Linked DNA regions of Rhinolophus ferrumequinum. The protein of the gene in region 1 interacts with the protein of each later gene in a pairwise test. Links are inferred from orthologs where the notes say so. Each region holds a gene or a part of one and is shown in the gene's direction. Other genes may lie near its edges. The genes, in order: CCNDBP1, THAP7, C10H22orf23 and PIMREG.

Region 1 (7,033 bases):
AAGGAAATGTTAATGCCTTGTATTGAAGTTATTATTGCAACAGAATCTCTTAATCTTTATGAATGTACTCCAGTATGTTTTTGGAATCTACAAGCTACATATCTATTCCAGGTATAGCATGTACTCAGATAATTTTATAATCAGAGAAATATGGAGCAGAGGAGCAAATAGCTGGTTAGCTAGGACACTGGGTGCAACATAGAGGTTAGCAAAGAAGAAAAGCTATGCAAATAAAATGCTTACAGATGAATGGTCTCATATTTCTTTGTTATTCCTGTAAATGCATCTTGTGATGTATGTAATAGTTATATTACAGAGTCATAGTTATTTAAGCTTCTTATTTCTTCTCCATTGCCTCTTTAGGACCATGGTTTATTGGTGAAATTACTAAGGGCAAAATAGGTTGCTGCTTTTCCTTTGGGATCTTTGTTGATGGCCATTTCCTACAAGGCAGTGTAACATTTATGGTTGGAATTCTCCAGGTAAGAAGTCAGAAATGCAATTTAAGAACACCTTAGCTTTATTGGACTAATTGTATAACACATACGCATTAAATCCCAAATCCCAAATTGAACACCATAAATCATGTTTCCTAAATTACTGGCAGGGAAGACTTTAATAGCTGGTGTTTTGTTTGCCTTTTGAGTGCTTCCTAAGCTCTTTCTTCCACTGTTGTCGTTTAAACATCTAAAATATATTTTTGGCAGGCAGGGTTTAGGAGAGGTGAAAGTGATTTTGGTTTTTGTTGTTTGTTTCACTGAGCTTTTCATTGACAAAAAAATGAAATAAGGGACTCATGATAGAATAAATGATAGACTTCTGATTATGATAATGAAGAAGGAAAATAGTTCAGAGGGAGGAAAGGAAAAATAGACATACACAAAAAGTGGGTTAGCTATCCAGTGAGAGCTGCCCTGGGCAAAACCAGACCTGGGCTTTCTAGTAATGTCTTATTAGTACACTTCTTTGAGAAACACTGATATATTGGTTTACATTTGGATTGAGATGCCTTTAAAACAAACAAACACACAAAATCCTGACCTGTAGCAAATCTCTAAACAGTTTGAAAGGTATTTACTTTTTTATTTTATTTTATTTACCTATTTATTTTACTCACCTAGTAGGACCAATGGACCAAAATCTGGAGGTGATGATCTGAAGTTTTAGAAGAGGTCCAAAAACATTATTCAAAATGAGTTCACAGCCTCATAACAGGACAGTAAAACATGATCAGCAGAATTAGAGATAAACAAATAGAGAAGACCTCTGCAATCACTGACCATAGGCCACAACATTCTCTGTATAGCAGTATTTCATATGTACATATGTCCTGGATCCAGTTCAATTTTCTATTATGTAAATGGAGGTTGTCTCTCAGGAGCAATCTTACACTAAGTAAAACCTGAGTCTTACCAAAGGGTGGGTTTATATTCATATTTGAATAAGTAGTACACTGGTAATGGATTTTATGTATCATCTAGGCCAGGGGAGTCCAAACTTTTTTCAACGTTTTTCACCAAGGGCCATATGCGGTAAAATACACAAACAGCCGGGCCACTCACTCAAGGTGAAGTACGTATTGCCTCACCTGGTTTATTTAAGTAAACTAAATATATTTTTGGAATTTGCTGCGGGCCAATTAACAATGGATTGCGGGCTGCAGTTTGCCCACGGGCCGCAGTTTTGACACCCCTGATCTAGGCCCATGACTCCTAAATCTATATCTCTGATCTGGACCTTTTCTCTGCACTTCAGGTGCCTATATCTCCACCTACCATTTCACATCTTCCTTTAGATATCTAATAGGCATCTCAGCTTAATAGTATATCTCTTATAGGACCTTTAATTTCTACCCACAAAACTGTTCCTAGTTTTTGCAATTTTAATAAATGGCTCCCCAGTTCACCCAGTTTCTTCAGGATGTATCCTCAGTTCTTCTCCTTCCTTTGTACCCTGTATCTAGTTCATCAACAAGTAATACCTTGTTTGCTCTACCTCCAATACATATCTTGAATCCACCGCTTCTCTCAATCCCGGTTGCTACCACCATAGTCTAAATCATAATTATTTCTTTTCTGGGTTACTGCATGACCCCCCTAACTGGTCTTCCTACTGCTGTTTTTGCCTCCCTACTGTCAGTTTGCCACAGAGCATCCACTGTGGTCCTTTCAAAACTTTAATCAGCTCACTTCTCAGCTTAAAACCCTTTAAACAGAGCAGTGATATGATCTTGGTCCTGCTGACTGTCCCAATTTCCACTTGGCTCATCATGTTCCAGGCCCATTGGCCTTAAATAGGCCAAGACCTCTCCCACCTCTGGGATTTCACTTGATTCTTCTGTCTGGAATGCAGTTCTTTCCACTGACTCAGGCCTGTCCTTCGGGCTTCAGAGAGCCCATTTCCCAGTTGCCTTCTCATGACCCAGTTATTTCCTTCATCGAATTTCTCATAGTCTGTAATTATCTTTCCTGTTCGTTTGTTTATTTGTTTATTTATTTATTTGGTTTTGCTTCTCTCTGTTAGACTGTAAACACTATGATGCATCTTTTCTGACTTGTTCACCAGTATGTCCCAAGCCTAGAGTATAGCAGTGCCTGCCACCTAATGGGTGATGAATGAATGACACAGCAGTTAAACTTGGATTATAACTTAAATCTTCTAATCTGTATTCCAGTACTCATCATGCTACTTCAAAGAAAAATACAAAGAAAAAGAAATATTGATACCCATGACCCTCTCACTCTGCCAAAAAAAAAAAAAAAGAGTATGTGTATGTGTATACACATCAATTCATTTCCACCTTAAACATTATCAAGGGCACCTGCCTTTACGAGGAAGAAAAGGATACAGGCAGCTATATAACTAACTACAAGTCAACTGTTTTTAGTGTTATAACCAAATGTGATCAAAGCATAACGAATCAGAATCAGAGGTAACCCTCAAAACAGAAAGCAACATATTCTTAGGAGCCACCAATAATGTATTAGACCCTACCCTGACCCCTTGGAGGACTTGCTGGTAAGCTAGTGGTTCTGTTCTGCTCTTCTTTCCAGTTGGCGTTTTTTAACATCCCTTTGATGGCTTACCTGTGTTGGAGCTTGCTGCAGCGGTGCTTTGGTCACAACTTCAGGTCTCATCTCCATCAAGGAAAACGCTTGAAAATTATACCTGTTCACCTTCTTATGTTACTGCTGTACATCTGGCAGATTTATTCCTGCTACTTTCTTCATATGACATTTGGAACTCTAGCGTTTTTCTTCTCCCCTTTAAGGACCTGGTTGACATTGCTGACACCTATTCTCATTCATTGTGTGTGGACACGGAACTCCGACAAGCTTGGAACCTTCACAGTGCAGTTAAAAAGCCACTTGAGCTCCTGAAAGCCACGTCTCACCATCCACCTCTGTAGGCCTCTGCCCCAGCAGCAGGTGGAAAGCCAGTATTGGTGGGCACGCTTCGGGGAGCTGCTGCTCCTTGGACGCCTGGGAGTTGGGGAAATTACCCACTATTCATTCCTGCAGAATGGAGTGCAGAAAAGTCTCTAAATAATGCCATGATTCCTTCCTTCCTCAAGAAAGCAAAGGATTGATTTACTTTTGTGAAGAGAAAGCCTGCATCTAGATCTACAGGAGGGCCTGGATGTGTATGGGCGCATGTGCAGCCCAGTGTTTTTAGGTTTACCTCATGTAAAGTACCTAGCACAGTACCTAGCTGTCAAGGGTGCCACTTTAGGGAAAGGGAACCAGTGTGAACTTGAGCCTGACCCTGACTACCCTTGAGCTATTATTATAGCTCCCAGTCCCTTTTTTCTGCTTCCTTAGTCGGGGGTGTTTTCAACCAATCAAATAAATGAATGATAAATAAGAAATAACGCGGACTGGTCCTTGCGTGTGCGGCCGGGCCTTGGGCCTGAGGGAGGAGGTCGGGGGCGGGGAGTGGGTGTCAGGCGTGACCCGGCCTCTGGGGAGGGAGGGGGCGTGGCTGGGCCGCTGGGGCGGGGCGGGTTGTTGCCGGAAACTAACCCAGGTCTGTGACGCCCGGAAGTGGAGCAACTACCGCTGTGCCTCTGGCCGCTGCTGTGGCGTCTTTTGTCTGCAGGCCCCAGGCGATCTGCTGAGATGGCGGGCGCAGGTGCACCTGCAGCCGCGATCTCCACCCTGACTCCGCCTTTGGAGCAGCTCCGGCTTTTAGCCGGGGAGCTGCGGTTGCTCTTGCCCGGAGTGCGGGGTGAGCGGATGCTGTTGGGCCGGGCGACCGCAGGGGCAGCCTTGGGTCGGGAAGCGGGCAAGCTGTGGAGCGGGGACCCGGGCGGAGGAGGTGGGGGGCCGGAGGTGTCTCCGCTAACCTCTACTTTTCTTTTGCCACCTGGCGGCCCACACGCCACGCACACCCAGTCGGCGAAGCCCGGGAGACCACCAAGGAGTTCAATCGGAAGACGTTTTGGAGGAGACTCAGTGAGTGCCTCTCCTGTCTTCTCCCAGCGTCCCAACCCCTCCCTCCCCCGCTGTCCCCCCCCCCCCCCGCTGCATCCTCTCTGCGGGGATACCTCACCATATACCCTCAGAGGTTGAAATATAAAACATTGATTTTTGGAGGTGTTTTCTCTACGTCTAAGGGTGTAGAGAGAACGCGTTATCTTTAAAGTCCGTGCAGCAGCTGCAGCCTTATCCTTTTGGCACTAACATATTGCCTCCTGCTTCCTGCTTTGTCACACCCCCTCCCCCTCCAGATGAGGCAGCTGTGAAAGTGTCAAGGGAAGCCACGACTATGACCGAAGTCTTCTCTAGACTTCCACTGCCACTGCCGTCCTCACAGGTGGGCTTTACTTTCCTGGAATCCTTGCGCTGCCTTGTTATTCTTCAGGAATCCTTCCATTTTCTTTCCACCTTTTACACTCAAACCAGGGGATTTATTATCATCTGTCATAAATAAGACTGCAGTTCTCATCCCACAGGATTGTTGTGAAGACTACATTGCCAAGTGCAGTACTTGGCATGGAGTAGGCAGGTCATCTAAATTGTATTGGTTCATTTTGAAGTGCATCCTGGTTATTTCCTTTCTGATAATTTTTTTTACGCACTTGCAGTTTGTTTTCAGCTATATGATCCCCATCTGACAGATGAGTAAGCGGGCTCACAGGCTCAGGTTAAGGTAATAAGCAGTGGGATTAGATTTTAAATTAGGATCTATCTGCTGTCGGAGCTGCACCTTTTTTGTTATATTGCATAATACCCTTTTTACCCTTTTGAATTATTCTTTATATTTAACCAGTAACAATTATACAGTATGAAATTCAAAAGATATCAAAGTGTGCTAAAAAGTTTGTCTTCCTTCCTCAGTTCCTTTGATTATTCATATCTATTCTAAGCATATGCACATTTATGTGTGTATGCCTGCTGCTTTTCACACAAATGATAGGATACCATAAACACTTTTCTGAACCTTCTTTTTGAAACAAATTAGCAATATAGCTTGCAAATTGTTTCTCAGCAGCACATATAAAGTTCATTTCTTTGTAATGGCTGCATGGTATTCAGTAGAGTACATGTGCCTGTTATTTATTTAACCAGTACTCTATGTGGATATTTAAGCTGTTTCCAACTTTTAGCTATTATAAACAATACTGTGATAAACTGCCTAATACAATATTTGAGTATGTGTGTAAAAAAAAAATCCAGGGAGTGGAATTGCTAGAACAAAGAATTTATACATTTTTAATAACCCTTTATTATAAAACGAATGAAAATAAACGTTGACTTGTGATCAGGTATGCCCTATGCCCAGTTTTTCTAGAGCGAGGTATACTTAATTTGGGATAAGTTTATTTAAAAATGGCATACTCATTGCCTTATTTGATTTTCATAGTCAATAGTTTCATTCTCTTTTTCAGTCCATACATCCAGATGTTTTGAAATGGAAAAATATCTTTGCTGCACCTACAATGATAAACTCTCTCCCCCTACATAACTCAGAGATCTGTGATGAGGGAACAAGAGATGAATGGTATAAGAGCACTTTAAAAGCTTTGCAGGGCCAGCCCGGTGGCTCAGGCGGTTAGAGCTCTGTGCTCCTAACTCCAAAGGCTGTCGGTTCCATTCCCACATGGGCCAGTGGGCTCTCAACCACAAGGTTGCCAGTTCAATTCCTCGAGTCCCACAAGGGATGGTGGGCAGCGCCCCCTGCAACTCAGATTGAACAGTTCACGGCACCTTGAGCTGAGCTGCCGCTGAGCTCCCAGATGGCTCAGTTGGTTGGAACGCGTCCTCTCAACCACAAGGTTGTTGGTTCGACTCCCGCAAGGGATGGTGGGCTGTGCCCCCTGCAACTAGCAATGGCAACTGGACCTGGAGCTGAGCTGCGCCCTCCACAACTAAGACTGAAAGGTCAACAACTTGACTTAGAAAAAAGTCCTGGAAGTACACACTGTTCCCCAATAAAATCCTGTTCCCCTTCCCCAATAAAATCTTTAAAAAAAAAAAAAAAAAAGCTTTGCAGAAGAAAGTATTTTTTTCAAAGGGAGTAGTAATATTACCTTATTTTTCTTATCTGCCAACTCTTTTCTTTCAGATACACTTAGGACTTGCTCCTAAAATTTACAGTTAGTAAAATACCATGAGGAGGCAGTATAGGACTATTTTTCCATACATGTTCAGGTCAGTGGTTTCACTCAGATGAAAACTTAGAATTTGCTTTTTATTTGAATTATATATATTTGAATCTCAATTGCTTTCTTAGAATCTCAGCATGTTAGTCTTAATGATGAATGGTTTTGTTTGTTTTAATTCCAGTTCCACATGGACTGGTATTTTTATAAAATTATGTGTGTGGTTGAAGCAATGTCAGATTACCATAAAAGTTTCTAAACACTCTCAATCACTGTACTTATTCATCCCAGACTGGTAACAAACGCTTTATGGACTGGCACCAATCTCTAGACCACATTTTACATAGAACTAGCTTAGAATTGAGTAGCAAAGTGAGGAAAAGGAAGAAAAGAGAATGCCAGTGACTGCTCAGTCAACATTGAGCATTG
Region 2 (7,498 bases), on another chromosome or scaffold:
CAGAGGCCATTATACCATCGGCAAGGAGATCGTCGACCTGGTCCTGGACCGCATCCGCAAACTGGTAAGAGCACTGGGAAGGCTTCCTGACGGCATTAGCCTGGAATGGGAGGGAGGCCTTGGAGTGGGACCAGGAGGTCATGTTGGCAAAACCCAGGCCAGAATGACGACTCCATGGTCTTCCTGTCCCGTGGGGCTCCATGCATCCATACGCATACATCTCTAGTGTCTGCTTTGCCTCCCCTCAAAGTGCAGTGCATGTTCACTGGGGACGATTTGAATTCGTATCCTCCTGTGGAGGCAAAGAAAAGTGACAGCGGCTTGGTGGGGTCGCTTCTGCTGGCGTTGCTCATGGTCTCTGCTTTCTCTCAGGCGGATCTGTGCACGGGGCTGCAGGGCTTCCTCATCTTCCACAGCTTCGGGGGCGGCACCGGCTCTGGGTTTGCGTCTCTGCTCATGGAGCGGCTCTCAGTGGACTACGGCAAGAAGTCCAAGCTCGAATTTGCCATCTACCCAGCCCCCCAGGTATCCACGGCCGTGGTGGAGCCCTACAACTCCATCCTGACCACCCACACGACCCTGGAACATTCCGACTGTGCCTTCATGGTGGACAACGAAGCCATCTATGACATATGTCGGCGCAACCTGGACATCGAGCGTCCCACGTACACCAACCTCAATCGTCTGATTGGGCAGATCGTGTCCTCCATCACGGCCTCCCTGCGCTTCGATGGGGCCCTGAACGTGGACCTGACGGAGTTCCAGACCAACCTGGTCCCATACCCCCGCATCCACTTCCCCCTGGCCACTTACGCGCCCGTCATCTCGGCCGAGAAGGCCTACCACGAGCAGCTGTCCGTGGCCGAGATCACCAATGCCTGCTTCGAGCCGGCCAATCAGATGGTCAAGTGTGACCCTCGCCACGGCAAGTACATGGCCTGCTGCATGTTGTACAGGGGAGATGTGGTCCCGAAAGACGTCAACGCGGCAATTGCCACCATCAAGACCAAGCGCACCATCCAGTTTGTGGACTGGTGCCCGACGGGATTTAAGGTAGGACTGGGTGCTGTCGAGTGGTTTTATCGTTCAGCATGTAGCAGACCCTGCGACAGGATGCTGTCCTTGTGGAGAATACATGGCAGCTAGGCTCTTGGTCATAAATGAGTGTACCAGAGTGATAATTTATTCAGTGGTGTCTTGAATTCCTTCCTGAGTCATCACATTATTTATCTGTGGTGGGAGAATTTTTTTTAACAGAATAGGAAAGTTTCCGAAGGATCTTTGGCCCCCTTTTGGAGTGGTAGTATTACTCAGAAAATGTAGGTTGGCCTTAGAAATAAGATACTTTTTTCTTATACTATGAATTTTCCTAAAATAGAAATTTAGTCTTCTAATAGAAATGTAGAAATTTTCTGGGCATTTTGGTAATTCATGTGGACATTTGAAATTGGCGCGTTACTGTAAATGGATTCCAACATGTACTTGGAAGCCAAATAACAGAATGTCAGGCGTTAGACCTGTTGTGATTATCAGGCTAAGTGCTTCATCATGCCTGCGTTCGTTAATTTTGTGCCCTCTTCTTTGTTACAAGTCCTCGTTCACAGTTGGTTTCCTGTGTTAGACAAAGCTGTAGACCTCATATTTGTAAGCCCTGAGGAGTCCTAAGGTGTTTGTGGAGTTACAAGTTCCAGGGTCATGCCAGATTGAATATGACAAGTAGTAGAAATATGTGTCATCTTGTTCCCATTTGGAATGGCAGTAGCTTGCCTCTGACCACACACAAGTTGTTGAAGCTATCTAGCCCTCTGTCAGACCCACTCTAAGAAACCATGACGCAGATCATCTCTGAGGACATAAAACTGACAGATTTAAAGTGACTCACAGAAAAGGGTAAAACAACAGGTTTCATCAATCTGGAAATATTCATTAAATCTTGCAGACCTTAGAGGTTAGAGGTAGGAGCTGAAACCTTCCACTCCATGTGTGTAATTACCACGTTCTTGACTTGCATGGAGGAAATTTTCTTTAGTCACTGTGACCTCTGGAAGGTAAGCACATCCAAGAAAGCCTCAGCTGGGAAGTGCTGTGCCCTGTGCCCAGATTTCCTATCATAGCTGAGTCTCTGCCTCCTGTCACCCAGTGGGGAGGCTGGTCTGTGTGGGGAGGCACAGGAAGTCAAAGCTTGTACTGACTGTCCCCAAAGAAGACAGTCCAGCCTCAGATAACCATGTTGAATTCTCATGCTAGTTTTTTGGGTTGTTTTTTTTTGTCAGTCTTAGTGTAATTTCACCATATATTCTTTAACAACCATTTGCTCAGGGATACACTCTTTTCAAGGAATCTTTTATGTTTAATAATTTTTAGTTTTTTTATAAAAATGCATATACATGGCAAAATATTAAAACAATGCAGAAGGCTGAAAAACACTAAATTCTCTTCCCCTTCCCCAGAGGTTTGTCTTTCAAGAGATACTCTGTGCATATTCGAGGTATATGATGCCTCGTTATGTGGGTGATGTTGACAGAAAGAGACCAGCAACATGGGCAAAGGACGCACAATCTTTACACGTAGGTGATAGATTTGACTCACTGCACACAGGTGGCCAAAGAGAACAGGAAGCTGGCAGCACTCCCACTTTGAGAGGCTGTCTGGCCTGGCATTAGAGCTGCGGAAGGGCACCCCTTGATCGGGGTCAGAGCCCCGTATCCTCCGTGCCCCTCCCAACTCTTCTGGAGACTGGCTGTGTGTCTGGCTGCTGCTGCCTGCTATCTGCTCACAGGACAGAGATCGGTGCCTGCCTCACACTCCCAGGCATTTGTCTTCCTCCAGCACGATGTTCCCCTCGCTGTCCAAGGCAGTAGCCTGTTACTCTATACACATTGCTAAGCATAAATACATAGAATTCAACTTGCTATTCTTTTTACCAAGTATACCTTATACCTTGGACATGTTGATATACCAGGACAGATTTTTCACTCTTTTTTATGCTCGTACATAGTGTTTCACTGTATGGGCGTATATTTAGTTCCCCATGATGGACATTTGTTCCAGTTTTGCCATTACAAGCAGTGCTTTAAACTAAATAGTACATAAAAATCTTTACACATGCAGCTTTGTGCTCTTGTGTGGGTAAATCCAAAAAGTGAAAGTGTACAGTCAAAGGATATTAAATGTTGATATTGCCAGAAAATACTGGACCAGTTTCTATAGGGTGTCATTTAAACTGTGTCCACAGCTCCAGTTTTGAAAAACAAGCTACCATTTCTGAGGCCACAATATAAACTTCACTCTATTCCCTCCTCTGGCAGGTGGGCATCAACTACCAGCCCCCCACTGTCGTCCCTGGGGGAGACCTGGCCAAGGTGCAGCGGGCCGTGTGCATGCTGAGCAACACCACTGCCATCGCCGAGGCCTGGGCCCGCCTCGACCATAAGTTCGATCTCATGTACGCAAAGCGAGCCTTTGTGCACTGGTACGTGGGGGAGGGCATGGAGGAAGGGGAGTTCTCTGAAGCCCGGGAAGACCTGGCAGCTCTGGAGAAAGATTATGAAGAGGTTGGTGTGGATTCTGTGGAAGCAGAGGCTGAAGAAGGGGAAGAATACTGAATGGGAGAGTACAGCTGGCAACCATCCCTGTTTCCCATCCCCCACTGTAACGTTACAAGACATGTATACAAACTATTAAAGTTTCTGTATTGAGGTATTGTCTGTCCCTTGTGCTTCACTTTGACAAAATTCCCCATTCAAATACCTGCCTTTTTCCAAGTGGATTTTCTAGGGGAAAAACATGTTTCCTCTCAGACCGAAAAAATTATTGTCTTTATGTTTAGTTACTGTATTTCTCCCAGAAAGGCTTCAAAAGGCACGGCTCAGGGAATTAGGAAGAAAGATGCTTCGATTATTTTAAATGTAAACATTCTTAAATCCTTCATGCCTGATGTTCTTTGAAGGATGGAATAGTAACCTGGTTTTCTTCTAAGCAGTGGAGTGGCTGTTTTCACCCTGTCTTGGGAGGGGCCAGGGAGGCCGCCCTGCCCAGCACAAATCTATTTCCTGACCTCCGATTCCAGGAAAGCCCCTTAGTTTTCCCTGTCAGCGTCCCTAACGGAAGTCGCTACACAGAAACTTCCCTGCCCATCACATTTTCCCAAAACGTAATCAATGGCCACCGCCCACTCTTCTCATTACAGGCACCTCTCCTGAAATTAGTCGTGAGCACTGGTATTTTTTAGGTTCTTTTGATCACGCGTCCCGGTCTCTTTCTTGCTGTTGGAGTACGTTTCTTGCAATCGGGGCCTCCCTGGGCGGCTTGCGCGGGTACCGAGGCATTGTCGTTTTACCGCCGCCGCGTCGCGCAGACCCGTACCCCGGGCCCTGTGCTGCCGAGTGGAGCCGCTCATTGGGTGCCCGGGCGTTGACGGTCAAAAGTTAGACCCGAAAGGACAGAGGGGCCAACGTTGCCACGGCGCAGGCGTCCAGGGACCCTAGGACTAAACGGGTCCCGCGGCGACGCCACGCTTCCGCCACTTCCGGGGCCCGCCCCGCCCCTCGGTCGAGCGCCCGCGATTTCGAGTCTCTATGGTAGCAACTTCCGCCGCTCGCTATATCTCGCGAGACTACGGCGGCTCAGCAATGGCAAGACCGTGAGTGCCGCTGAGGGGAGTCAGGAGTACGGGTTGGGTCGGGGCTCAGGCGAGATCGGGCCGGGGGGCAGACCTGCCAGGCCAAGGCCGCCCGAATCGGAGCGGCGGCTGGGGGCGCGAGGCCCCTCTGAGTCCGAACAGTCGCCCGTGACCAAGCTCCCGCCTCTTCCCCAGATGCCGCGTCATTGCTCCGCCGCCGGCTGCTGCACACGGGATACGCGCGAGACGCGCAACAGCGGCATCTCCTTCCACAGGTCAGCGCGCGTGCGTCTTGCACGCGAAGATTCACATGCGCATGCGCCTGTTTTGCCCGCCTCATGAAGTCACCATTGCGCATGCTCTTTGGTTGGGGGCGAGGCTTGAACTTGTGGGTGGGAGAGAGTGAAGGGGGCGGTCCAGGTGGGACTGAGTCCAGACGGGAAAGGATGAAAGGGAGGTCCACCATCCTTGGGACTTATTTTTTGCGACTCTTAACCTGCTAGATGACGCTGACCACGTTGTTCCCCTTTTTGAGACCTCAGTTTCCTCGTCTGTGCCCGGATGGGCGGTGCTTACCTGACAGTTGAAGGGAGGTCTCTTGCAGCATGTGCAAGGCCAGCTCTTCCCACCTGTGGAGCTTATGCAGCATGATGCCAGGGCTGCAGGCAGCCTGGGACTCACGGGTTTGTGGCTCCACAGACTTCCCAAAAAGGACAACCCAAGGCGAGGCTTGTGGCTGGCCAACTGCCAGAGGCTGGACCCCAGCGGCCAGGGCCTATGGGACCCAGCATCTGAGTACATCTACTTCTGTTCCAAACACTTCGAGGAGAACTGCTTTGAGCTGGTGGGAATCAGGTGAGCCTCCTTGCCAGCCAGCACTGGGGCATCTGTAGGGCCCGATGATGAGGTCCCTATAGCAGCTGGCACAAGGCCAGACCTGGTTTCAAGGGTGACTGCCTCTTCCCATCTCTGTACCTCAGTTTCCCCTTCTGACAGATGAGAACAGTAAGACCCACCCCTTCAGGATGACTGTGCCAGTGACACAAAGAAAAACATTGAGCTCTTCCAGAGGGTTTGCCTTAGAACCCCCATCCTCCCACCACATCCCCAAATGAAATCATTCTTTTTGGCTGGTCAGCCCCGTTCTGTTGGCGCCTTTCCATGCACCGTAACTTGGAGGAGTTCTGCAGGGAAGAGATTGGTGGAACTCTGCCTAATTTGGCATTGCCCAAACTAATTGTTTTCAATATGCGTTCCTACCTCTCGCCGTGCTGGCTAGCACTGGGGAGCCTGCTCTGCGGTGCTGGAGGGCATGCAGGCTCTGCGCCCCTGCAGGTCAGCTGCGGGTGGCGGCGCTTGTTCTCCATCTCATCCAGGCTGCTTTCCCCCACAGTGGGTATCACAGGCTGAAGGAGGGGGCAGTTCCCACGATATTTGAGTCTTTCTCCAAGTTGCGCCGGACAACCAAGACCAAGGGGCATAGTTACCCACCTGGCTCCCCTGACGTCAGCCGGCTCCGGCGATGCAGGAAGCGGTATGTGCTCTGGGTGGGGGGTACCCCACTCCCACCCCAAGTCTGAGGGACAGGGCTTTAGGGTATCTACCAGCAGCCATGCTGAACAGGGTCCTGAGTCTGTGGGGCGGGTTCAAGGGGGCTGGTGAATTATGGTCTGGCAAGCTTTTAGCCTGACCTGTCAGTCTCTCCACAGCTGCTCTGACAGTCAAGGGCCCACAACTCCTTTTTCTCCACCTCCACCTGCTGACGTCTCCTGCTTTCCTGTGGAAGAGGCCTCGGCACCTGCTGCTTTGCCTGCCTCCCCCACTGGGAGGCTGGAGCCTGGCCTCAGCAGCCCCTTCTCAGACCTCCTGGGGCCTCTGGGTGCCCAAGCGGATGAAGCAGGCTGCAGTGCCCAGCCCTCACCGGAGCGGGAGCCAGAGCGGCAGCCATCCCCTCTTGAACCACGGCCTGTCTCACCCTCAGCCTATATGCTGCGCCTCCCACCACCTGCTGGAGCCTACATCCAGAATGAGCACAGCTACCAGGTGGGCAGTGCGCTGCTCTGGAAGCGGCGGGCGGAGGCCGCACTCGACGCCCTGGACAAGGCCCAGCGCCAGCTGCAGGCCTGCAAGCGGCGGGAGCAGCGGCTGCGGCTGCGGCTGACCAAGCTGCAGCAGGAAAGGGCACGTGAGAAGCGGGCACAGGCAGATGCCCGCCAGACTCTGAAGGAGCATGTGCAGGACTTTGCCATGCAGCTAAGCAGCAGCATGGCCTGAGTGAGGGGCCACTGGACCCAGGGTTGAGGAACTGCCTGTCAGGGCTCCAACCTCTTCCTCCTTCAGAATCCACCTGGACAGGGACCTGATCTAAGCTGCATCCGTCAGACCCACCAGATGCCATAATAAAGTGGATTCCTGAAGGAGGCCCTGTATGATTCATCTGGGGGCTGGGGCCCCTCCTGGATCCCAGGCTTGTTCCCCCAAACAGTGGCTGCAGACTGCAGAGGGCTCAAACCCTGGAGTTTAAGCTCTTGGCTGTGGAGAGCAGAAAGCCCAGCTCCGTGCCCCATGGGGTTCTCTGAGGACCAGGATTGTGAGTAGAGGCTGCAGGCAGCACTAGGCACCCCTTGCCGTGGCATCTGAAACAGCCTTGACTTCAGCAAGCTGATCCTCTTTGAAAACACTCCTAAAACCCAGGCCAGACTCAGTTCCTTTGCGGGGACACAACAGACTTCCCTCATAGGCCCAGTCTGCCCAGCCTGAGTCCCGGCTTACAGGCCCACCACCCACCACGGGGCCCGTCTTATTTGAAAACAAGGACAAGGACAATTTCTGACTGCCTGGGGCTGCTTGGCTCGGCAAGTAGTGAGGGCCCAACCA
Region 3 (7,349 bases), on another chromosome or scaffold:
ACCTCTTGTAATTGCAGAAGTCAAACGTGACTTGTATTCATCTTTTGTTATCAGTATATGTTGCGTATTACAATTTTAATAGTTTTCCTTTCTTAAAATGTGTATACATTTTTTTTGGTACCGTGTGTGTGTGTGTGTGTGTGTGTGTTCATATATTTAACAATTACTTATCAGGCATCTGTCATGTGCCAAACATCATAATAGATGCTGAGACAAAGCTAAGAGCTTTTGCTCTCAAAGAAAGAATTCATGGTCTGGGCAGGAGACAAGAATAAACAGAACAGCAGGTGCTTTGAAGGAATGCAAGTGTGCAACAAACTTAACAAGGTGGGGGGCATCTAACTCACACGGTGGGTTAGGAAGACAGTCCAAAGATGAGACTTGAGCTTGTCTAGGATTAGTAGGAGTTCCCAAGCCCATGAGGAAGGGAAGGGCATTCCAGGCAGGCTGAATTGAATGTGCAAAGGCACAGAGGAGGTAATGTACTAGGTTTGGACAACTAATTATGGAGTATGAACAGAGCAAAGGTGCATATAGGGTCACAGGCAGGAGAATAAATATTACAATAAAGAATTAAGTCAACAGGACGGTGGGGTGGCTCAGTTGGTTGGACCACGAGCTCTCAACAACAAGGTTGCCGGTTCAATCCCCACATGGGATGGTGGGCTGTGCCCTCTGCAACTAAAGATTGAAAATGGGAACTGGACTTGAAGCTGAGCTGCGCCCTCCACGGCTAGATTGAGGGACAACGACTTGGAGCTGATGGGCCCTGGAGAAACACAATGTTCCCCAATATATTCCGCAATTTAAAAAAAAAAATTAAGTCAACAAATATTTATTGAGTGCTTACTGTATGTCAAGTAGTGTTCCAAGTGCTTGGCATAGAGCAGTAAGATAAAATTCTTCCCCTACAGAGCTTATACTATAGTGAGAAGAGATAAACAATAAATAAAATAAGTAAAATGTGTATAACAATAGAGAAACAAGACAGGGAGTGCCAAGGAGGTAGTGCGGGAGGAGGGGGAGAAAGCTGCCATTTTAAATATGAATAAGATGGTCACAGAAGGCCTCCTTGATATGACAGTTGGACAAAGCCCTGAGGGGAGTGAGGAGCAGGTCATGTGCGCTTCTCGGGGAAAAGTGTTCCTGGAAGAGGAAACAGCATGATCAGAAGTCTTGAGCAGAGGTGTGCCTGGCAGGCCAAGGACAGCAAGAAGAGATAAGATCACAGAGGGAGCAGGTGGCCAGATCATGGAGAACTTTGTACGTCTTTTTGGCAATTCCTTTGAATGAGATGGGAAGCCACCAGATGAGGGTTCTAAATCGGAGACATCAGTTAACTTAAGATTTGAAAGGATCACTCTGGATACTCTGTTGAGAATATTTTGTAGAGGGCAACGGCAGAAGCAGAGAGACCATTTAGGAAGACCGAGGGTATCATGCAGGCAGGTAAGAGAGATGACTCTGGCAGCAGAAAGACAATCAGAGCAGACGGAAGGCAGGAAAACCAGGAACACAATTTCTGCAGTAATGTGGTTGTAAAGGAATAAAGATCTAAACCAGGCTGGTGCACTAGGAATGAAGAAATGGAACAGGGCTGAACTAAATGAAGGAGCCAGAATTGACGGGACAGGAATGGAAGGAGACCGGAAGGATGGAGAAAGAGGTTTCTGACACAGTGAATACGGGTACTCGAGAGTGTCCTGAAGAGAGAAAATTCAAAAAGAGGGGCTTTGGCTTCTAAGCCAAACGGGACTAAAAAAGTCGAGGGATCACTCTCCAGGAGACATAAAGCACTTCTTCTTCCATCAGTCACCCAAGACAGAAAGCCCTATTTTATTCATGAAGCTAGTAACCCACCCATCTAGTTGCTGAATCCAGAAACCTAGCGGTCATGTTTGTCATCTCCCACTTTCTCAGCCCCAAATCCAATCCATCAAAATATCTCTTCCATCTGTTTCCTTATCAATGGCCCTAGCAATGCACAAGTTCAAGCTGCAGGTCTCCCACCTGGCGGTCTGTGACAGTCCCCTAATTAATGTCTCTCTCTCATACTTGCTCCTCCCTGCTTCGCTCCTGAGGTCAGCATGCTCTTTCTAAAGTGTCAACTTTACATCATGCCACTCCCTGGTTCAAAACTTGTCAGTGGCTTCCTTCAACCTACAGTCTACAAAATCTTGCCTGATCTGGGCCCTTACCTCGCCAGCTTTATTCAAGGTCACTCTCCCCCTTGCTCCTATGCAGCCCCACGCTGCAGAGCACCTGGCACATAATAAACAATCAACACACAGTCGCTGAATGAATAAATGTGACATCTCACCCATCAGTGAACTAACTGCCTCAGAAACCACGGACTGTGGTCCAAGTGGACAAAAGCCTGCAGGCCCACCCTCTGGGGCTGTTGCGCTACCCAGGACTGGAACTCTGCCCACTCTAATGGGGGGTGGCTGGGGCAGGGCCTTTGGTCACAAACAGGAGGCAGATGCATTCAGGCAATGATCACTGGGCAGCCTGTTTGACAGCCTGGGCTGCAGGAGGGAGACTGAGACTACACACTGACCTCCTCGGCGTTCTCCAAGTCATCTAGCCCTTCATCCTCTTCCACGTCATCAAAGTCATCGCCGTCAAAACTGGACAAGAAGAAAGAGGCCAATTAGTCAGAGCACCACTTACTGGAATCCAAAAGGGCAGAGAGTGTCTCAGCCAACAGTTAGGAGGTGCTCCACAAACATCTACTTAATGAGTGAATCAAACTTCTGTTCCATTTTACTCCTTCGAATTCACCCCCATCAACCCCCAAAATTGGCTAGGACACATTCTTCATCACTGTCTCTTTTCTCTCTCTACGCTGCATCATTCTCATCAGCACAAACATTTTCCCCATCTTAAAAAAAAAACAAAACCTCTCTCCCCCCAGAGCCTTATTTCCATGCTCTGCTTGGGAACAAAAATCATGGAAGAGTTGTCCATCATCACTGTTTCCAATTCTTCTCTTTCCGTTCTGTCACAATTTCACTCCAAGAAGACCTCCATCTCCACGGCTCCATCAAAACCACTCCTTCTTTCAAGTCTGTGAATGATTTCCATGTTGCCAACCAATGGACTCTTCTTGTTCTCGTTTAGCTTGACTTTTCAGTGGCACGTTAGCCCACTCTCGCTCAGTACACCCTCCTCACTCGACTGCAAGGACACCTCCCTCTCTTGGTATTTCCCCCACCTCACTGGCTGCTCCTTCTCAGTGTCCTTTGCTCGTGTCTCTTCTTCTCCAACCCCAAGGAGTCCCTGTTGGAACGCTCTAACGCTCAGTCACCTCCCCTTCTCTACTGACACCCCCTGATGATGTCACCTGTTTCTCAGTTTTGACTAATATACTTATGCGGACCACTCCCCTATTTTAATCTTCAGAACAGACCTCTGCTCCCACCCCACACATCGGGAAATCTTTTTGGCGCCAGCTTCAAAATGAACTCAGAATTCAAAACCACTTCTCACTACCTCTACTACTAACACACTACCTTCTCTCGCCAGACGACTGCAACCTGCCCAGACCTTTCCCACCTGTCGCACCACTCCTCTGGAGTACTTCTACACAGTAAGTCCTCATTCAATGCCCACGATAGGTTCTGCGACTTTAAGCAAAACGATGCACGACGCAACCAATTTTACCATCGACTAACTGATAGCAACAGGTGGGATCCTACCGCATCTCATCAACGTTAGAAAACGGTATTCGAGGACCCGCTGTACTACGTACTTTTACTGCCTCATCTCACACGATCCTACGTTATCTGTCCCCTCTTCTAGAAGGGAGCACCTGGAGAGGAAGGGCTACGTCTAACACAGCGCAATATTCCCAATACAGGACCCGGAACCTGGCGCAGTGGAAGTTTTCTGAAAGACACCTTTTCCACTGATCCTCTCTGCCCCCTCGAGCCTGTGCCTTTTGTGTCCAGTCCCTGGCTACGCTCTTGGTTCCGCGCCCTTCCCTTCTCCGGCTCCGCGGGCCCCTTCAGCAGCCCCAGTCCCCTCGGATACGGTCCCTCCACGCCTGGCTCGTCAGCCTCCTTGGACTCAAACTCCCGCTTCACCCACCCCTTCCGAGGCTCCGCAAAGGCCACTTGGCTCCCGCACTCACTTGTCCTCATTGTCTGACATGACGCCGACGCAGCCGCGACTCGGCTCTGCGCCCCAGACCCGCACGGAGATCCGCGAACAGCGTGCCTCCCACCAGCCCCGCGACACGCGTCCTCTGCGCCTGCGCCGTGAACCAGAAGCAATCACTTCCGGTAGGCAGGACTGAGTAAATGTGCGCATGCGACGAGATGCATGCTCGTTACCATGGTAGCCAGAGCGTCCCGCTGCCGGCTCTAGACACAGCGATCTCAGTGTTTCTGCCGGGTCCCCGCGCGATGCCGCGGTAGAGCCGTGCTTTTGGGCTCCGGAGCCCAGCCACCGCTCTCTGTGAGGAGGGGTGCACCCAGCCGGCGTCTTACTTTAGGGTGAGGTTTCAATTTTGGGGTAACATCCTAGAGGCTTCATAGCAGGGTTTTATCTTGCAGTGATGATGAAAGAATCCAACCTGACTAAATTCCAACAGCTATCTAAAGGCCCTCTTCCTCCCCAAAGGCCTTCCCTGCCACAAGCAGCAGGTCAAGATGAGGTCTCCGTTCGTGTGTGTGTGTGTGTGTGTGTGTGTGTGTGTGTGTGTCGGTCTGTCTGTTTCGGGTGGGAGAGGAGGGCACTCGCAATAGTGACACGCGGCAACACGATTCTCCTGCAGCCGGACCTCGCTCCCAGACTTCGGTGGTGTTGGAAGGGCGGGGTGCAGGAGTAGAGACAGGGGGTATGTCATTGTGTGTTTTCCCTCCTTAGGGCCCTGCCATGGCTTCCCAGGAGAAGATGGAGGCAGTGACCAAAGGAACGGGGTTCTGGAGCTGCCCCAAGCAGGCCACTTATACCCCTGGGACCTGTGAGCTCCTGAGAGGTCAGTGCGCTTAAAGGAAAAGAGGGGTGGTAGCAGTTACCCTCCGTAACTCGGGTCTCCCCTTTTGACCTGTGGCTCAGCAATTGCTATTTTCATTTTACAGAAAGATTCAGGTCCTACAACTTGCAAGTGGCCAAAAGTCAAAGAACCAAGAATTTTAGAGTAGTTAACAATTGTACATCCCTTAGATCACACTTTCAGTTTCCCCTGGGAAGCTTTATCTCCCCCCACCAGGACCCACCACCACAGTGGAACCAACTGCGATGTGACCAAATACCTTTTTCTTCATTGGAATTAGCGCAACCTGTAGTCAAATATTTAGTATGTCCCATTGGATCAGTATCCACCTACCCCTCTAGCCAGTGAAATCCAATAGGGCTGGGATTGTTCCTTTTTTGGCTCACCATTACAGCTTCAGCCCCTGGCACATGGTTAATGCTTGGTCATTCATTCATTTATTCACTCACACAACAAAAAAAATTTTAAAAGCCCACTATGGGCTTTAGACATTGTTCTAGATGCTATGGATACAGCATTAAAAACAAAAACAAAAACAAACCAGCAAAACTTCTGGCTCTCATGGAGCTGATATCCTAGCAGGAGGGTGACAAGTAATAATAAGTAAAATGTGTAGAACTTAGATGGTGATGAGTGCTACAGAAAAAAATAAGACAGAAGAGGAAGAGAGGGAGTATTCAGGTGCAGGACGGGGGTAGGAGGTGATACAATTTTAAATTTCAGTGGGTGAGATGAAGGCTCAGCAGGCTTTACAAAAGTGCTTTATCTTGCAGTAATGATGGAGGAATCCAGACTGACTAAATTCCAACAGCGCCACATCATGGACACCATGAAAAGTAAGAGGCAGTCCACAGAGGCTTCCTGGGCAGAGGGATTCTGGGCCACGTTTTTCAAGCTCCTCCATATTAAGAGGTAGAGGACATCATTTTAAAAGACCAAAATAGTAGAGTGTAGTATTTCCGACCCTTGCATCTGGGGGATTGACCTTGAGGCGGCCTTTGTTTCTTCCCCCAGACACGGGTCCTGGCACCACAACCAGTCTCCTGCAGTTCTGCTCTAGCTGCCTTTCCCAAGAGATCACAGCCCAGGCGAGACTTCCTGTCCAGCCAAAATAGTCTCAAAACTGTCCTGTCTGCAATCTATCCCTCCCTGTTACACACATACCATAGGAGCTCTCCAGAGGAAAGGACTGTGGATGTGTCTCATTTGTCGTTTTATTCATTCATAGCTTAGCTAGCAGAAACAAGAAAACTGGCAGAATTCCAACTTAGGAAGATTATGCAGAGCCTTTCCATAGCTCACCTCTGACCACACATTACATTTTTTTTCTTCTTTTCTTTTTTTTTTTCTTTTTTGTTTTTTAAGGAGGACACAGCTCACAGTGGCCTATGCTGGGATCGAACCGGCAACCTTGGTGTTATTAGCATCACACTTTAACCAACTGAGCTAACCGGCCACCCCTACATTACTTATTTTTGAGGAAAACAAAAAAGTGGAAGTACGTGGGCACAATAGCCAGGGGCCCTCTAAGATCTTGAAAGCAACTTTGCTTTCTGAGATGTAACTGAATCAATCAATATTTAATGGAGCAGAACACAGACCTGTAAAGTTGCCTTTAAGAGAGAGAATACCAGAAGGTCCAACCCTGCCGAGTTTTACTTGAATCTACTGAAAGCTGTTGCCGTCTTTGAAGAAAGAATGTGCTTATCAGGAGGGCATTTGATCAATGACAGAAGCATAGGGAAGAGAGAGTCAGACATTGGCACCTGTTCAGCACTGGCTGAGGGAGGGAGGCTCCATCCGGCCAGGTCAGAAGTCAGATGTCCTTCCTTATTGTGGAAAAGTACAACTCAGGCTGCCTAGTGCCGTGACATATCTGAATCACAACTCAGTCTCCACGCTCAGCAATCTACTAATAAACTGGTGTCCCCTGTAGCATGACCACAAAGAGATTATGCTAGAAATTTCACTAAAAGTAAAACTAGCAGACCAAGGACTCCATCTGTCTTGTTCACCACGGTAGCCCCAGCACTTAGCTGCTCAAAATTTTTTTTTTTTTTTTTTTTAAGCTGCTCAATGTTTATTGAAGGACTGACTGCATTAGTGGTTAGGCCAACATGAGTAATTGGTTCACCTGGCAGTGTTATTCCCCTTAGAAGTTTTATTTTTTTAAATTGCCTCCAAGCATTGGTGTTGAGTCTGCTTTCTTCTAGAATCTTCTCTTTACTTCTCTTACCCAAATCCTACTGTTGTTTTGAGCCTTCGTTCAAATTCTGTTGCAAGCCATAAATTCCTCTCCTTCACCGGAACTCCCAGAATTACTCGGGCCATAAATATTTGCTGAAAA
Region 4 (7,091 bases), on another chromosome or scaffold:
ATGGCCATCCAATCACAGTTGATGGCCATTTACTACCCGAGGGAGCACCTTTCCACGTGAGGGCAAGAGCCTGGAAACTGCACTCCTGGCTCTGTCCCCACTGGGTCTTATATTAATTTTTGCTCCATTAGGCCTAATTTTCAGGGGATGTCTTATTTTTTCATGTACAACAATCTATATTTATTCAAATACAGTCACGTCATCTTCTTCTGGAACATCGTCACAACGTACTAAATGAGTCCGTCTGGCTGACAATCTTAACTGGGGCTTATTTTCAGCGTAGGTCTTATTTTTGGGGAAACATGGTACACAGGAGGAAAGATGGATGCTTAGATGGTAAAACTACAAAGAAAATAAAAGTGATTACCATAAAGTCCAGGGAGGGAGGGAGGACACTCAGCAGGGGTGGGGTGGCTTCTTCTGGGGTCCTGGCAACATTCTGTTTCTTCACTGCGTGATGGTTTCTTCACATGGATGTTTGCTTTCTAAGTATTCATTATACTAAGCTTCCTGATTTAGGCATTTTTCTCTGTGATATAATTCACAATGGAAGAAAAAGATATAATCATGTCTCACACTTAAATCTCTCCTATTGTTTAAATTGCTTCCCTTTATAAAAGGGTCAAAGGACGCACAGCGATTGCAGTTATCAAGAGGAGGTAGAGCTGATAGACTGGGCCTGTGGTTGCCAGGGTGGGAGTTGGGGGGCATGACGGGCAGGGGATGTTGAAGCTGATGCCAGTGGTTTCGATTTCACTGCTGAGAACAACGAAGTGCTCCAGCCACAGCTTCCAGATGGACCCCAGCCACCACTTGGCCCCCAAACTAACCTCCTAACCGACTTCATTAAAATGTAACTCTAATAACTCCACTCCCCTCTTCAAATTCAGCCAAGGGTTCCCACTGCCCTCAGGATAAATTCTAAGCTCCTTTCCTGCCAAGGAGCCCTGCAGCTCCTGGTTCTTGCCATCCCAGACCCTGCCCTCTATGTCTCCTTCTCTGGTCCTGGAACCTGGCATGTTCTGGCCGCCCAGCACTGGGCTTTGCAGATCCCTCTATCAGACAACCTCGTCCCCTCACTTTGTCCCACTAACTCCTCAGCTAAAACACCATATGCTAAGTAAGGGCAGCCTGCCCTGACCTCCACCTCCAGGGGAGTTCCCCATCCCCTTACACACCATGGTTGCCCCCGAGCACTTGGCATTCCTGGCATTTTTGCAGTTTAATGTCTGCTGCTTCCCTCAGACTGACAGTTTCATGAGGCCAAGGAAACTGGTGGAAGCTTTGCTGTTGGACAGAGTTCCCTCAGAGCAGGGCAGGGCTGGAGCTGGACCCCAGAAAGCCTCAGCTTGGAACAACGGACTGGCTTTCCCCCTTACCAGGAGGAGCTGGAGCCCCTGCACCCACCCCAACCCCTCAACTAGTAATCTGCTTGCTTCAGCACACCCTCCTTCCCACCCCCTCACTACACCACTCCCTGAAAGGCAGAGGGAGAGCCTTCTCATTCAGAAAAAAATGTTTCTTCCTTCTCTCGTTGCCATGGAGACTGTTCTTCCCTCACCTGGTCTGCCAGTTACAGTTGTAAGAGAAGGGGTAAGAATGCCCCAAGCCGGGAGAGCCTCTTCCTACATTCACTCATTTGTTCCCCGATGCTTGATGAGGCCATTTAATCAAAGTTTAAGAATTCGCATATTACAGTCAGACACCCAGGGTTCAAGTTCCAGCTCTGATTCTGTTCCAGCCTAGGCAAGACACTTCGCCCATCTGAATCTGTTTTGTCATTTGTAATGGGAATAAAACTACTCTACTTCATGGAGTTGCTGTGAGGATTAAGGCAGAGTAAAGAAATGCACTTAGCACACATGTGGTGAGGGCTGGACAAATATAAGCTGCTGTATCGATGCCCACGGCATACCGGGCATTCTGACAGGTTCTGACAGACAACGGTGACAAGACAACCCAACTTGAAAGACTTTCTAAGTGTTTCACCTTCACGGAGTCTTTCCCACACTTTCAATTTCATTTTTCTAAAAATACTCTTGCTTTCCCTCCTCGTATTTCACTGGTAAAGGACATGAATTAATTACAATAAGGAATACTGCCAGCATAAACAGGCTTGGGAACAAACACGCCTGACACTTGGGAAACAACTCTATTAGGGAACAAGGTGAGTGAGCAGGCGAACTAGAGCAGTGAGCCATTGTAAAATAAATGTAACGAGCTGTCACCGGCACTAAAAAAATAATAAAATAATAAAATCTCAAAGGACCATCACACATAGTCAAGCACTGTTTCAGGAAACGTTTGTTTCGGGTGTATATATGTGTGTGTGCTGGGTGTCTTACCTGGGTACTAGTCCCCTTGGTATCCCCTGTGCAAGAACCCCACACACAGCACCACACACACACACACGCACACTCAAACACAAACATACACACTCAGACACACACATTCTTTGCTTGGTTAACTCATTCTCTAGGTCTCAGACCTAGATAATAATTTTTGTGTCATAATTTTCTCTGATTGGGTAATTACTTATTGATTATTTGACTCATTCATGTCCATCTCTTCCCACACACTAGATTTGAGCTCCATGAGGGTAAGGAATGCTTTGTGGTCCATTTTTAGCATAATGCTTAATCTATTATGTTGGTGCAAAAGTAATTGCGGTTTTTGCAATTCCTTTTAACCGTTTAAACCACAATTACTTTTGCACTAACCTAATATCAAACACCATTAGGTATTTGGAAAAACATGAGAGAGGGGACATGGGGAAGGAGGAGAAGGGCTGGGCGAGACCAAGGGGATGCCCTCTGAGGCGTGTTGGTGAAAAGTGCCTGCAGTGCCCAGGAGGAGTTGGGTATCCAGGAGGTGAGTGGATACACCTGCATGGGAGAAGGAGGAGAAGCAGTGTTGTGCGGTGGGATGGCACGTGGAGTCTGGTCCCAGACTGGCAGACTTTGAATCCTTGGCTCTGTGACTTACTAACTGAGGGAAATCGGGGCCCAACCTAACTGTTTGTCTATGCCTTGGTCTCCTCATTTAGTGGCAGGCTGCCATGAGGGTCAAATGAGCTCATAATATAAAGTGCTTGGAACACAGGTAGCTGGTGCATAGTAAGGACTCCATACATGCTCTTTGGTCTCACCATCCCAGGGAGGGGAGAGCAGGGGAGCGGTAACTGAGGCCACAGAAGTGGGTGAGATCAGCCAGAGATGGAGAAGAGGCTAAGGACAGAGCTTCAAGGAGCCCATCAGCAAAAGAATGACCAGAGAGGTGGGGAGTTGTGGGGGTAGTAAGGGGGGAGGAGACCAGATGAGGATGGCAGCAAGAAACCGAGGGGCCGCACTGGCCAGTGCTGCTAAAGGTGGGGGAAATGGGGGGAGCTTTCTGTATGGCATATTTTTCAGATTGTTTGGATGCTAAAGGGAGGGAGACATTCATCAGAAGAGAGGGGAGGGTCAGTTGGAGTGGGGGAAGGGGAGCTTAATTGGAGGAGAGCAGGCGATGTACTAGCTACCTTCCCTCTTCCCGGTTGGGTTTTCTCTGGGGCAGAGCGAGGGTAAACACACACGGTAGCGGGCCAAGTGGGAAGTTTGAAACAAAACATCCCCGGGAACCCAGGCCCTGAGTTCTTTGTGACAAAACCACTGAGACCTCCTGGCAGTATGGGAGGGAGCCCTCTGAGCCTGAAAGGCCGCCTGCGCCCCGCCCAATCAGACCAGCCTGAATCCTTTGTAGTTCGAAGAGGGGGCCCGGCGGCCTGGGGCTGAGCGTCCCGGAGGTGGAGCAGGGGGGCCTGGCTGGCCGGCAGTGGCGGATTCCCGCTGTGGCGCGGGCTGGACCTGCAGATACAAAGGGGCAGCTTGGCTGGGCGCCTAGCCCCGCGGGGGTCCTGAGGGATGAATGGGGACGGCCGGGCCAATCCGAGAGCAGAATTCACAAAGCCGCTAGAGCAGAAGGCCAATAAGATCCCCGATGCGACAGCGACGCGGGGAACTAACCAATCAGATGTGAAAACTGGGCCGGGGGCGGATCCGCGCGGAGTTTCAAATCAGCTGGGATGGGCTAGGAGCATATGTGCTCGGCTTCTGTTCTACGTGGGGGCTGTTGGGTGAGTGCGGGCCGGGGCGTTGTGGGGCTTCTGTTCTGAAGGGACGTGGGCCCCTGGGGAAGCGTGGAGGTCTAGTTAGGACGGGCACGCTGGTGGGGTGTCTGGGTATTGCAAAGTGGAAATCGGGGGGTCTTGTCAGCCGGTCGGGGTCTGGGCAGGAGCGCGTTGACTCAGGGCGAATTTGTCAAAGAGCCACAGGTCGTCGAGCCCGGGGCCCAATGCTGAGGCTTGACGAGGGCCGCTCCTGACCCTCCCTCCCTCCCTGCTTCAGGCGACAGCGGAGAGGAGGCTGAGGTGAAAAGACAGCTGTTTTAGACACTTGCAGCCAGGAAATGCTGACTGGCCTTGTTCAGCCTCTGCCCTCTTCTGGGCCTCGCTGACCTCCCTTTCAGGAAACTCCCTCCTCTCCACAGCCACCGTTGCCAAGTGCCTCCACCCCACGGCATGAGCCTCCATCCCATCCCTTCCCTCATACCCAGGGTCTCTGTGGAGCCTGGGAATGGGATGCCGGATGCCTTGCTGACCTGCCTTTTGCCATCCCCAGGGGCTGGTGAGCGGAACAGACTCTTGGCCAGGCAGATGGCCTCTCGATGGCCAGCTGTGCGGGTCTCCATGCGCAGGAGATCTCTCCAGGACCGGGAGCAGCTGGAGGAGAGCGAGGTGCTGCAGCCTGCTGTTGGCCATCTGGAGACCTCCAGCGGGACCCTGGGCTCCCTCTGCAGAGAGTTCCAACGGAGGCTGCCCCTGAGAGCAGTCAGCCTCAACCTGGGGGCAGGCCCCTCCTGGAAACGCCTGAAAACCCCAGAGCCAGGGCAGCAGGGCCTCCAGGCTGCAGCTCACTCAGCTAAAAATGCCTTTGGTGCCATGTCCCAGGTAATGCTGACCACGTCCAGGTATGGCGAGCTTCCTTGGTGCCAGACAACTGCTGCCCCAAGGAGCCCCCAAGAATATTGACTCCACGAAGACAATGCCTTCAATTTGCTCATTGTTGTGTTCCCAGCACCCCAAGTAGTTCCTGGCACTTAGTAGGTGCTCAACACATAGTTAAGTGAGTGAATGAAAACAGTGTCATGGAAGAAACATCCTCACAACATAAGATGGTAGAGCTGTATTGTGATGGGAAGTTGCAAGCAAGCGGCTAACGGTGGGGGGAAACCAGAAACAAGTTTAGTTGGTGAAGCTTTCCAGAGGAGGTGAATCCACGGAATTCACACAGGAAAGGGGAGGAATGAGGAGTGTATACGGCAGGTGAAGTAGTGTGAGTCCAGACCCGGAGCTGAGGGGCAGCAGGATGCTAAAGAGGGATGGAGAGAGCTTAGTCTGGGTGTGGCATGAGGACAGAGAGCAAGGTGAGGCAGTAAAAGACGGGTCCCGTGTGCTGAAGGTGTTTAGATGGTCCCAAGAGCCAGTGGGAAGAATTTACAACAGTGGGAATCAGGTTCGATTGGCATATTAGAACTTGTTCTTTAGCTACTTGAAGGAAAAGGGATTAGTAACATTCTCCCTGGGGGTCTGGCCTTGCAGAGGAGGGAACAACTTCAAGAGTTACTTGGACGGTAGATTTGAGAGGGTTTGGGGACAGATGAGATGTGTGGGCAGGAAGATGTCACGTATGTTGGGTGTGAGATGCCTGCGGGCCTTCCAGATCGATGTGTTTTCTAACCTGGAGTTGGAGATGTGCGGAGTCTCCCCTAGAAAGGACAGAGGCCAGGAGAGTGAATAGACCTCCGAGGAGAGAACTGGGGGTGGGAGGAGGTTCCCCTTGGTGTCTGATTGGGACTCTGAAGATGTGAGATGGGAAAAGCTGTTTCTGAACGCTTTACAGAGAGGTCTCTGAACCAAATGTTAATCCTTGTCTGGAAGAGCCCTAGGACTGTGTTATTCCCAGGGATCAGACATGAAACAAGGTAGCCTGCCCAAGGTCACATAACTCACCAAATGTAACTCGAGCTGGCTCTAAGCTCTGGACTCTGGTTTGCCAAGGCAAAGACAGTCTAGCTGAGGAAGAGCCTTCACGTTCATCCCCCAGCTGGTGTGAAAGACACAAGAATTAGGTCTTGATCCTGTGAGTAACGAGGAGCAATAGAAGGGTATTGATCAGAACTGCTCTTGAGAAGGATCTCTGTGCACCAGTGGAGGATGGATTAGAGGGAGTGAGACCAGAGGCAGGGAAATAGGTTATCTCACTGTGTCTTGGGGGGTAGGCTTTGCCCTTGAGTCCCTGGGTCAATCTGTGATCTGAAAGGGTTTGGACTTAGGCAAATAGAGGTTCTATAAGCCAGTGGTTCTTCTGCTGACCACTGCACTCATGTCTGGGAGCTCTGAGCGGGGTCCCTACAGTGGACCCATGTCATAGAGTATCACCTACATCCCTCACCCTTGAGACTAACAGCTACCTGTGCGTGTAGGACAGGCTGAAAAGTGGAGGGGTCAGAGGTATGGCTTGGAGATTGGGGTGGCTCACCCTTGGCTTATCTGTGCTCTTTTTTCCATGTACTTATCTCAGCGAATCCAGGAATCCTGCCAAAGTGGCACCAAGTGGCTGGTAGAGACCCAGGTGAAAGCCAGAAGGAGGAAGAGAGAGGCACAGAAGGGCAGTAGCGTGCCAGCTCGTAGTCTGAACCAGAGGAGCACCCGCCTGTCTGGAACTGCCCCTGCCCGCTCAACCCTGGGCCCCTGGGAGAGGGAACGTCACCACCACTCCACTCAGAGGGGCTCACGGGCCCACCCACTTCGGCGGTCCAGGAGGGAGGCCGCCTTCCAGAGCCCCTACTCCTCTGCAGAGCCCCTCTGCTCCCCCAGGCAAGTGGAAGAGAGCCTTGCCTCCAAAATACTAATGGGCCCCAGAGGCTTCTGAGCCCCTCCTGGGGCTCCCTAGAGCCAGGGGCACCCTAAGCTTAATCACGTCTGTATGCTGACCCAGCTCTGTCCCCCACGAGTTGGGGATCTGGGAAAGTCCTTTGGAGCCTTAGTTTCC

Evidence for each region.
Region 2: the proteins of CCNDBP1 (region 1) and THAP7 interact in binary tests that used the Homo sapiens proteins (3 or more experiments, as listed by UniProt). The two-hybrid records come from large-scale screens. The link is inferred for Rhinolophus ferrumequinum from reciprocal best matches to the Homo sapiens genes CCNDBP1 and THAP7.
Region 3: the proteins of CCNDBP1 (region 1) and C10H22orf23 interact in binary tests that used the Homo sapiens proteins (3 or more experiments, as listed by UniProt). The two-hybrid records come from large-scale screens. The link is inferred for Rhinolophus ferrumequinum from reciprocal best matches to the Homo sapiens genes CCNDBP1 and C22orf23.
Region 4: the proteins of CCNDBP1 (region 1) and PIMREG interact in binary tests that used the Homo sapiens proteins (3 or more experiments, as listed by UniProt). The two-hybrid records come from large-scale screens. The link is inferred for Rhinolophus ferrumequinum from reciprocal best matches to the Homo sapiens genes CCNDBP1 and PIMREG.

The regions. Positions count from the first base shown.
Region 1 is NC_046289.1:62,568,194-62,575,226, reverse strand, and holds the start of CCNDBP1 (cyclin-D1-binding protein 1), read left to right. Parts: upstream 1-4,012; 5' UTR 4,013-4,118; coding exon 4,119-4,227; intron 4,228-4,394; coding exon 4,395-4,454; intron 4,455-4,729; coding exon 4,730-4,815; intron 4,816-7,033. Other genes in the region: TMEM62 (transmembrane protein 62), read left to right, coding at 364-482, 3,054-3,380. UniProt on the Homo sapiens protein: May negatively regulate cell cycle progression. May act at least in part via inhibition of the cyclin-D1/CDK4 complex, thereby preventing phosphorylation of RB1 and blocking E2F-dependent transcription.
Region 2 is NC_046308.1:23,399,080-23,406,577, reverse strand, and holds the start of THAP7 (THAP domain-containing protein 7), read left to right. Parts: upstream 1-4,483; 5' UTR 4,484-4,642; intron 4,643-4,816; coding exon 4,817-4,896; intron 4,897-5,225; exon of another isoform or gene 5,226-5,261; coding exon of another isoform or gene 5,262-5,320; coding exon 5,321-5,476; intron 5,477-6,014; coding exon 6,015-6,155; intron 6,156-6,319; coding exon of another isoform or gene 6,320-6,330; coding exon 6,331-6,895; 3' UTR 6,896-7,498. Other genes in the region: tubulin alpha-3 chain, read left to right, coding at 1-64, 373-1,053, 3,309-3,605. UniProt on the Homo sapiens protein: Chromatin-associated, histone tail-binding protein that represses transcription via recruitment of HDAC3 and nuclear hormone receptor corepressors.
Region 3 is NC_046293.1:9,026,850-9,034,198, forward strand, and holds the start of C10H22orf23 (UPF0193 protein EVG1), read left to right. Parts: upstream 1-4,346; 5' UTR 4,347-4,499; intron 4,500-4,872; 5' UTR 4,873-4,881; coding exon 4,882-4,984; intron 4,985-5,775; coding exon 5,776-5,838; intron 5,839-7,349. Other genes in the region: POLR2F (DNA-directed RNA polymerases I, II, and III subunit RPABC2), read right to left, coding at 2,561-2,630, 4,136-4,155.
Region 4 is NC_046304.1:13,749,341-13,756,431, forward strand, and holds the start of PIMREG (protein PIMREG), read left to right. Parts: upstream 1-4,075; 5' UTR 4,076-4,114; intron 4,115-4,658; 5' UTR 4,659-4,693; coding exon 4,694-4,987; intron 4,988-6,620; coding exon 6,621-6,916; intron 6,917-7,091. UniProt on the Homo sapiens protein: During mitosis, may play a role in the control of metaphase-to-anaphase transition.